Linked DNA regions of Stegostoma tigrinum. The protein of the gene in region 2 interacts with the protein of the main gene of each other region in a pairwise test. Links are inferred from orthologs where the notes say so. Each region holds a gene or a part of one and is shown on either strand. Other genes may lie near its edges.

Region 1 (3,921 bases), on a different chromosome or scaffold from region 2:
TGAGAGGCTAGTGAAGGCAGGTACTCTCAGAACATTTAAGGAACATCTGATAAGCATTTCTGATGAAGGGTCCTGACCTGAAACATCGACTTTCTCGTTCCTCTGATGCTGCCTGACCTGCTGCGTTCCTCCAGCTCCACACTATGTTGACTCTGACTCAAGCATTTGCAGCTCTTGTTGTCTCCAATGAGCACTTAGAATTTCAAGGAAATAGAAGCTATGACCAACTGCAGGGAAACGGGATTACTGTGGCTTGGTGTTCATTGGTTGGCATGGACAAAGTGAGCTGAATGGCTTTTTCTATGCTGTATGATTGTATGACTCTAAATGTAAATAGTGAATATCCAAGCTTTCTACCTCCAGGCTTCAGGAAACAACATCTGTCTCTCCTCTGGCAGGATGCGGGGATCCAGCTTGGATTATTTAGCACCTCAAGACCAACAATTCCAGAGTGAAAGAAAGGCATCCTTGTTCCTGAGGGACTGCTTAATTAAGACAGACAGTGGAAGGTGCACAATTACACTGCCACCCCCCACCACGCAGACAAAATTTGTGAATGAAACTAATTAGTATTTGCAGAAGCCCCAACGCCTGGTGGACATGATGCGTGAGCCAACTTTTAAGACAACCTCCATGAAGCTGGAGTCAGCTGTAACCTTAGAATAAATACAGAATGTTCTGGGACTGAGGTCTGAAAAGGAGCCATATAGGACTCGAAACATTATTACTGTTTCATTCTCCACAGATGCTGCCAGACCTGCTGAGTTTCTCCAGCAATTTGTGTTTTCAGTTCAGATATTCAGGATCCGCAGTATTTGGCTTTTGTCTTAATGTGTTTATAGATGGAAGGTTTGGCTGTTAAAAATGAAAGCAAGATTTTCAACATGTGCCAAATTACAAGCCTTTGCTGATAATTCAACTTTGGTTATTTACCACAAGAAGCAGCTTTCATTCTCGCTCCATCACCACTTCCTCTTCCCCAACTTTGGCAACTGCCATAAAGCATTGCTGGCCTCAGCTGGAAAACTGTCGCTAAGCGGTGGAGATGCGGGACGCTACGCTTGGCGGCAGTGAGGAAGATGGCGGACGAGAACCTGCGGGAGTTGAATGTCGGTGGAGATCCGGGGACCTGGGACGGCTCGGAGTCTGAGCTGGTGGTCCGGGTGAGTGCAGCCTAGGATGGGCCGTTGACACACGCACTGAGGGGCCGGGGGAAGTCTCGGTCTCACTCCCGCTTCTCCCTGGTGCTGCCATAAGGGCTCAGGGCTGTTTAACGGACCGGGGTCCCGAGCGTTGTCCGTCAAGCAAAGATCCGCCGCCTTCCTTTTTTGTTATTGTGTCGACACGGTCCCGTTTGTCCGAGTTTTGTTTACAAACCGCAAAAGCAAGCTGGGTTTAAACCAGTGTGGTCGTGTTGGTATTCCTGCCCCATTGAGTCTCGTGCCTGATCTCAGTTTGTCGGTGTGCCAGGTCGCATGTGAGCCCCGACCCAGTTTTTTGGTTTCCCGCCTGTCGTGTGCTCCTGACCCGTTGGCACGCTCTTATGCCTGCTCAGTTGGTGTGCCTGAGACCTGGTATGTTAGCATGCCAGTGCCCTGGCAAGTTGGCACACTGAGTCTGTTGTGTGCCCATGTCCTGGTTTGTTTGCATGCTTTTGTGCCTGGTCTAATTTTGATAGTTTATCCGGCCTCTTGTCAGTTAGTGTTTATCTGTGCCTCTGTATTAGTTTATTTCCCTTGTATTCATTAAGTTGTGGAGGAATTTCATTAAGAAAAGCTACGAATTTATAAAAATTTACGTCACTTAGAGCTTTCAAGTGACTTACTGTGAGTTGTTTTCTTATTTGAGTTACAAAATATCATATGCTTTGAAAGGGAATGGTACAACAGATACTTTTGCTTTCAATCTGTTAGATTTTAATAAAGAGTGTAATGTTCATGTTTGTTTTTTGTAAATTGGGCCTCATTCTATTAATTGTATAACAGTGAACGTTAATCAAGATTGCCCAAACACACACGCTTGTATCCAAAGTCACGTTGAGTTGCATTAAACTATCAGCCAATTGCTCATTGATTGATGTATATTGACTTTTGATTTGTTAATGCTTACCTGCATTTTAAAAAATCTTCCTTTTCCCCTGGTAATCTCCTCCAGCGCTCAAACTTTCAATTCTACCCTCTTTTAATCACTTCTTTGGTTATATTTCTGTCAAGGTCTTAAACTCTGGAATTCCCGCTTTAAGGATCTCCACATTGTTTTACTTCTCTCGCTCTCGCTCTCTCTTCTTTTATCCTTAAAGTCTTCCTATTTGACCAGGCTGTACATCTTTTGAAATGGCTTAGTGTCAAGATTCTGAAGAACGGTCTAGGCCTGAAACGTCAGCCTTCATGCTCCTCTGATGCTGCTTGGCCTGCTGTGTTCATCCAGCTGTTCACCTTGTTATCTCAGTGTCAAGTTTGATTATGCTTCTGTGAAGCCTCCAGAATCTTCTAACTGCATTAAAGATGCCATATAAGTGCAAGGTTTGTTCATTTATCTGTGAACTAAATCCTCGTAGTGCTATTGATGATTTAAAATTTATATTTAGAAGCAAGGGTGTGTAAGTGAAGTTGACCAGTTCCTGTGCTGGGAAGAAACTGGTGCAGCGATTCATCAAACATGATTAAGATTCTGTTGCACTTATAATTAAAACCAAAAACACAGGCTCTTTCAATCACATTGTGTATATGTTCTCTTATTGTACCAACTTTCCCTTTACTTTCACATTGTAGTCCACAAAATGCTTTTTAATATTACTGACTGAAGTTAGTTGATTTTTTTTATGTTTCCAGAGAAATGCAAGATTTCCAGATGATTTTGCTTCTCTCTTGCCCTACCACACAGGTGATGATGCCTATTATTCCCATGTTGCTTTGTTGTCAAAGCTCAGCTAATTTAGTCCGTTACGGGATTTGTTCTTGTTACTTTACCATTCAACAAGGCTCAGTTCCTTCTGGAATATCTGCATAAATAATTAAGTATTATGTTGTTTTGAAAAAAAAATTAAAACACCAATCCCTGTACACTTTAAAGACGTATTAAACTGTTCAAATTTTTTATGACATTACAAAGCTTTCAGTAACCTATACATCAAGTTGCTATAGTTCCCAGAGCACCATAGCTCATGACACTAAATAAAAAGGCAGCTGATGATGGTTTAACCTGAGGACCACCTTGCCTCGGACAAGAGGTGAGGTCAAGAAGATGGGACCTTCACGGTGACCGGAACCTGTGCAGGAATTGTACCCATGATGTTGGTGTCATTCAGCAATACCAAGGAACTACCTAGCTAAGTGAGCTAAGCGACCTTTGGGTAAAGTGTTTTTGAAAGCTCTATCTGCTCCACTCGAGGAGGCCAAATATGGTGAGGAATCTTTTAAAAGAATAACATGACACACAATGAAGCCCATCAAGAATTCTTATCTGATCTAGCAAGAGTGCAAAGCAATGGTTTTTGTGAGTTTGCTATGAATTTGACCTTTGGGTTGAATATGTTAGTTCTGTCCTATTATATCTTCTCTCTTTGCCACTTTTTTATAATAGGTAGTTAGCTGAAGCCAGTTAAAATTGGTTTGTATTATAGTGCCTCATTTCACACTGGTTTGGATCGCAAACTTTGTATTGCGATAGTTTTTGCTATGGATTGACTCTTGATACACTGGAGTTTGTTTTTAAGGATATTGTTCAGGTGACATCCATGGAGCTGTTTGTTTGAGCTATTGTTGCCTTTCTAAAGAGGATGTTGAAATATCAGGAGTAGGTTATATTGTGATTAACATGTGAGGGGATCTGTATCTTTTATTCACTCATGGGATAGGGGCTTTGACTTGCCTAGCATTAATTGCCTGCCTGTAGTTTTGCTGAGAAAATGTGATTATTCAG
Region 2 (3,921 bases):
AGGGGGGAAAAAGATAATGGACACCAAGGGTGGTTAAATCCTACCCCAAATATTAACTTGCTCCTTCCCCCAGTCCTGAAAATGTCAGCACACTCATTAACTGTGGCTGCCAAATGGCATCTGTACAAAGTTGTGAAACATTAATTCAATGTAATAGCCAGAGGGTTGAAAATTGCCTAGTCCAGCAACTCCATGCCAGTCAATTTAATCTGTGCTGGTAAAACTGAGGTGATAATGCTGGATAAAATTATTAGTCACTTAAGTAAATACAGGTTAATTAAGGAAATCCAATGTGGATTTGTTAAAGGTAAATCATGTTTAACCAACTTGATAGGAGTTTGAGTGGTATCATAGTGGTGAAGATAATGCTGTTTTTATAGCGTCTATCAACTTCCAAAATATATTTGTTAAAGTGCCACACATTAACCCATGATCAAAGTTAGAACTCATGGAATGAAAGGGACAGTAGCTACATGGGTCCAGAATTGACTGTGACAGGAAACAACAGCTGAATGTTTGTTTTCAGACAGGATGACCACTTAAGAATGACTTCCCCAAGAATTTGTTAGGACACCGACAGTACCTGACAAATTACTAACCTGTATAGGGTAAAACTTCCAAATTTGCAAGTGACAAAGCTTGGAACCATTGTGAACAATGAAGCAGATGGTGTAGGATAGCAAAGTCATATGCATAGTGAAATGGTCAGAAAGGAGAAATATAATGCAGAAGTGGGTGAAATGATTAATTTAGCATGAAGGCAGCAGAGAAACAATACAAAGTAAAAGATGCAAATTTTGAAAAAGAGACCAGGAGCAGAGGGACCAAGTCAATATGTAAGAAAATTCCTAACATGGCAAGGCACATCAAGTGAACAACGAATAAAGGATGGGACATCCTAGGTTTCATTAATGGTCGTAAAGTCAACAAGCAATAAATTTTATTAAACCTCTACAAATACTGGCTCAGCCTCATCTGGACTATTACATCTATTTCTGGGCACCATATTTTCCAGTGAAGAGATTAGAGGGGATGCAGAAAAAATGCCTCCAGGGATGAGAAACTTCCGTTACACAAGGCAGACTGAAGGTCTTCCTCCTTGAAGAGGAGATTAATACAGTTATCCAAAATTTCAGAGTTCAGATAGGGACAAAACAACAATGCAATGATCAAGAACCAGACAAAACAGATTTAAGATATTTGGCAAAAGAAACAATAGCAACACAAGGAGAAACATTCACACAGGTTAGGATCTGGTATGCACTGCCCGAGAGTGGCAAAAGTAGGGTGAATTTTGACTGTCAGGAGGGAATTAGATCATTATCCAGAAAAGAAAATGTTACAGCACTACACGAAAAAGACAGTAGTGGCTCTAGATGAAGTGCTCCTTTGGAAGGCCAGCTGACATGACAGACCAAATGACCTCTTTCTATGCTATAACCATTCCATTATTTTAGAAAGACAGTTCATGAGCTTAATTAAAAAAACAGAAAGCTAAAGATAGATGTTAAACTTGGAGAAAGAACTGAAGTAGCAAGAAATTGGGAGTTCAAGATTACATCTTCAGACAAAAGCAGAGGACTGTTAGCAGAAGTTACCTAAGTGATGTTCAGTTTCCAGACTATAGAAGAGGCCCCAACAAGATCAAGGAATACAGAACTTCATTTGTTTAAAGAATATTGGGATATTCTGTGATCACGGTAGGCCTTTCTTCCTGAAATTTGGAAGAAGTTCACATAAATTGTTGCTCCGAGGGTGTTAAGATTTAGGCAGAAGGTCAGTGAACAATCTTTGCACAAAAGCTTAAGCTTCATAAATAGCTTTAGTCAGTTAAACATACTTGGAGGCCCTCAACTATTAAATGCACTACAAGTGTCCTACCATTCATAAACACGACATGCGTATAAAATAGACAATAAGTATTATTAGGAGAAACACTGATAGTCGTATTGTTTCAGGACATGCAGTTTTAAAGACGTTAAACTAAAAAGTGTACGAGATCTGCAAATGTGTAACTGAAACAATATGTAAATTGAGAATCTTACAGCAGCTGCTCCAGCAGGCTTGGATTATAGTGTGACCTCTCACCCCTTCACCAATAGCCAATGAGCTGAAGCCACACAGTCTCCCAGATTTGTCATCACTATAACTCAGAAGTAAAAAGAAGTGACTGAGACTTCACAAGGAAAGGCCGAAATGTACCTGACGGGTAACCCTCCCTCATACCATTACACTGGTATTGCACACACACTCAGCCTACATTGCCCCTACTCAGTACCTCATAAGCAGCCCCCAAATCCTGGAACTTAGCCTGCGCTGCCGGATCGTCGGGGTTTCTGTCGGGGTGCAACTGCAGTGCCAGTTTGCGATAAGCCTTCTTGATATCCTTCACCGAGGCGCTTTTAGATACCCCCAGAATCTTGTAGAAATCCCGGCTGTCCTCAGACACAAACAAAAAAAAAACACGAGATATGAAGAAAATACACACAACTGAAATAAGACCTTACAGCCCTTTCAGTGACTGATGAACAACGCACTTGGCAAAATTTTGTTTGTTAAAAAACTGAACAAGTTCCCACCCGATGATCACACCGGGGGGTCACTCTAACGCGTTAATACCCATGATATTCATTCAGTGAAGTGAAGGTAGATAGGAAGAGCTGCAGGAACCTGAGCTGGAGATCTCTCCCTCTCACTTACCCTGTCAGAACCTCCCCGCTCAGACACAGCAGCACAATACACACAGAGCGCACACCCGCCGCCATGCTGCACACTTTTCCTCCTTCCCTTCCTTGTTCTTTTTTTTGTTGTTTTGGCTCCGCTGCCCACGTTACTCTCTACGAGCTGGTTAGCGGCAACTACCGGCAGAGGCAACCTAACAGCATCGCCGCTTCCTCATGCCTGACGCTTTCAGGAGGGGCGGAGTCCAAGCTCGTACTCCAACTGCTAGACCTTCTCATTCGTTTGCTATCGTACCGGGAAAGGGGTTGGGCAGAGGAAGAGGAGGGCACGGGGGTATAGTTGTGTGTGTGTGTTCGTGCAGGAAATTATGCACAGAATTCTAATAAGTCAAAAACGGAACTAAAAATAAACAAGGTGGAAAATCTCATTTATATTTTCGCCTTTTTTAAAAAATTGCTTCGTGTTAGGTTTTTAAAGTTGAAACATGTAAGACTGAGTTAAAGTTAAATGATGAAGTGTTATTGCGTTAGAAAATGTACAGTCCTGTGTCAGTTTTTTTTATTTCAAAAGCTTAGTTGCATCACAGTGCTGTCCAAGAAGTGTTTAGGATTCTTCCCGGAAAATGGAAAATACCGTTAGTGGATAAGTGTTTTGAGAGAAGATTGAATAATTATTTGAGGACGAGTAAGATTCTAATTTTGAGTAAAATTGTGTGCGTTGGCAATAATAAGATGATACAGATGGTCATCTTTGGTGGACATGTTCTGTGATTCTAAATAAACTTATTGTTTGATGTCTGCAATTATATATAGCATCTCTAAACTGCCTTGCTACCTTTTCTCCATCTTCAAAAGCATCTCCTCTTGGTCACCTCCATTTAGTTTTCTTAGTACAACCTGGTGAAATATCTTAGGAAATTTTACTAAGCTATAATATTAATGTAAGTTTTTGTTCCTTACCAGATGGATTTTGCTTTTACATAAATGTATTCAAAGATCTTGGATTCATAAAATAAATTATGAAACTTCAAAATAATCCACAATCCATTTTGCCTGTAGGATTGTGATTTGGATCAATTAAGACTCATAAGGAGAAAAAATCTGACTATTGTGAAATAAAAGACTTGTATTTATAAGGCAATTTTTGAGACTTCCTGATATCACAAAGCAATTTGAAGCCCATTAAGTACCTATGAAGTACTGTCACTTCTGTAATTTAGGAAACATTGCAATCAATTTG

The links.
Region 1: the proteins of dnajb11 (region 2) and ubr1 interact in a two-hybrid assay, tested with the Homo sapiens proteins (2 studies listed by BioGRID and IntAct). The link is inferred for Stegostoma tigrinum from reciprocal best matches to the Homo sapiens genes DNAJB11 and UBR1.

The regions. Positions count from the first base shown.
Region 1 is NC_081363.1:86,524,459-86,528,379, forward strand, and holds the start of ubr1 (E3 ubiquitin-protein ligase UBR1), read left to right. Parts: upstream 1-1,030; 5' UTR 1,031-1,079; coding exon 1,080-1,163; intron 1,164-3,921. UniProt on the Homo sapiens protein: E3 ubiquitin-protein ligase which is a component of the N-end rule pathway. Recognizes and binds proteins bearing specific N-terminal residues that are destabilizing according to the N-end rule, leading to their ubiquitination and subsequent degradation.
Region 2 is NC_081360.1:29,056,020-29,059,940, reverse strand, and holds the start of dnajb11 (dnaJ homolog subfamily B member 11), read right to left. Parts: upstream 2,944-3,921; 5' UTR 2,766-2,943; coding exon 2,701-2,765; intron 2,436-2,700; coding exon 2,279-2,435; intron 1-2,278. UniProt on the Homo sapiens protein: As a co-chaperone for HSPA5 it is required for proper folding, trafficking or degradation of proteins.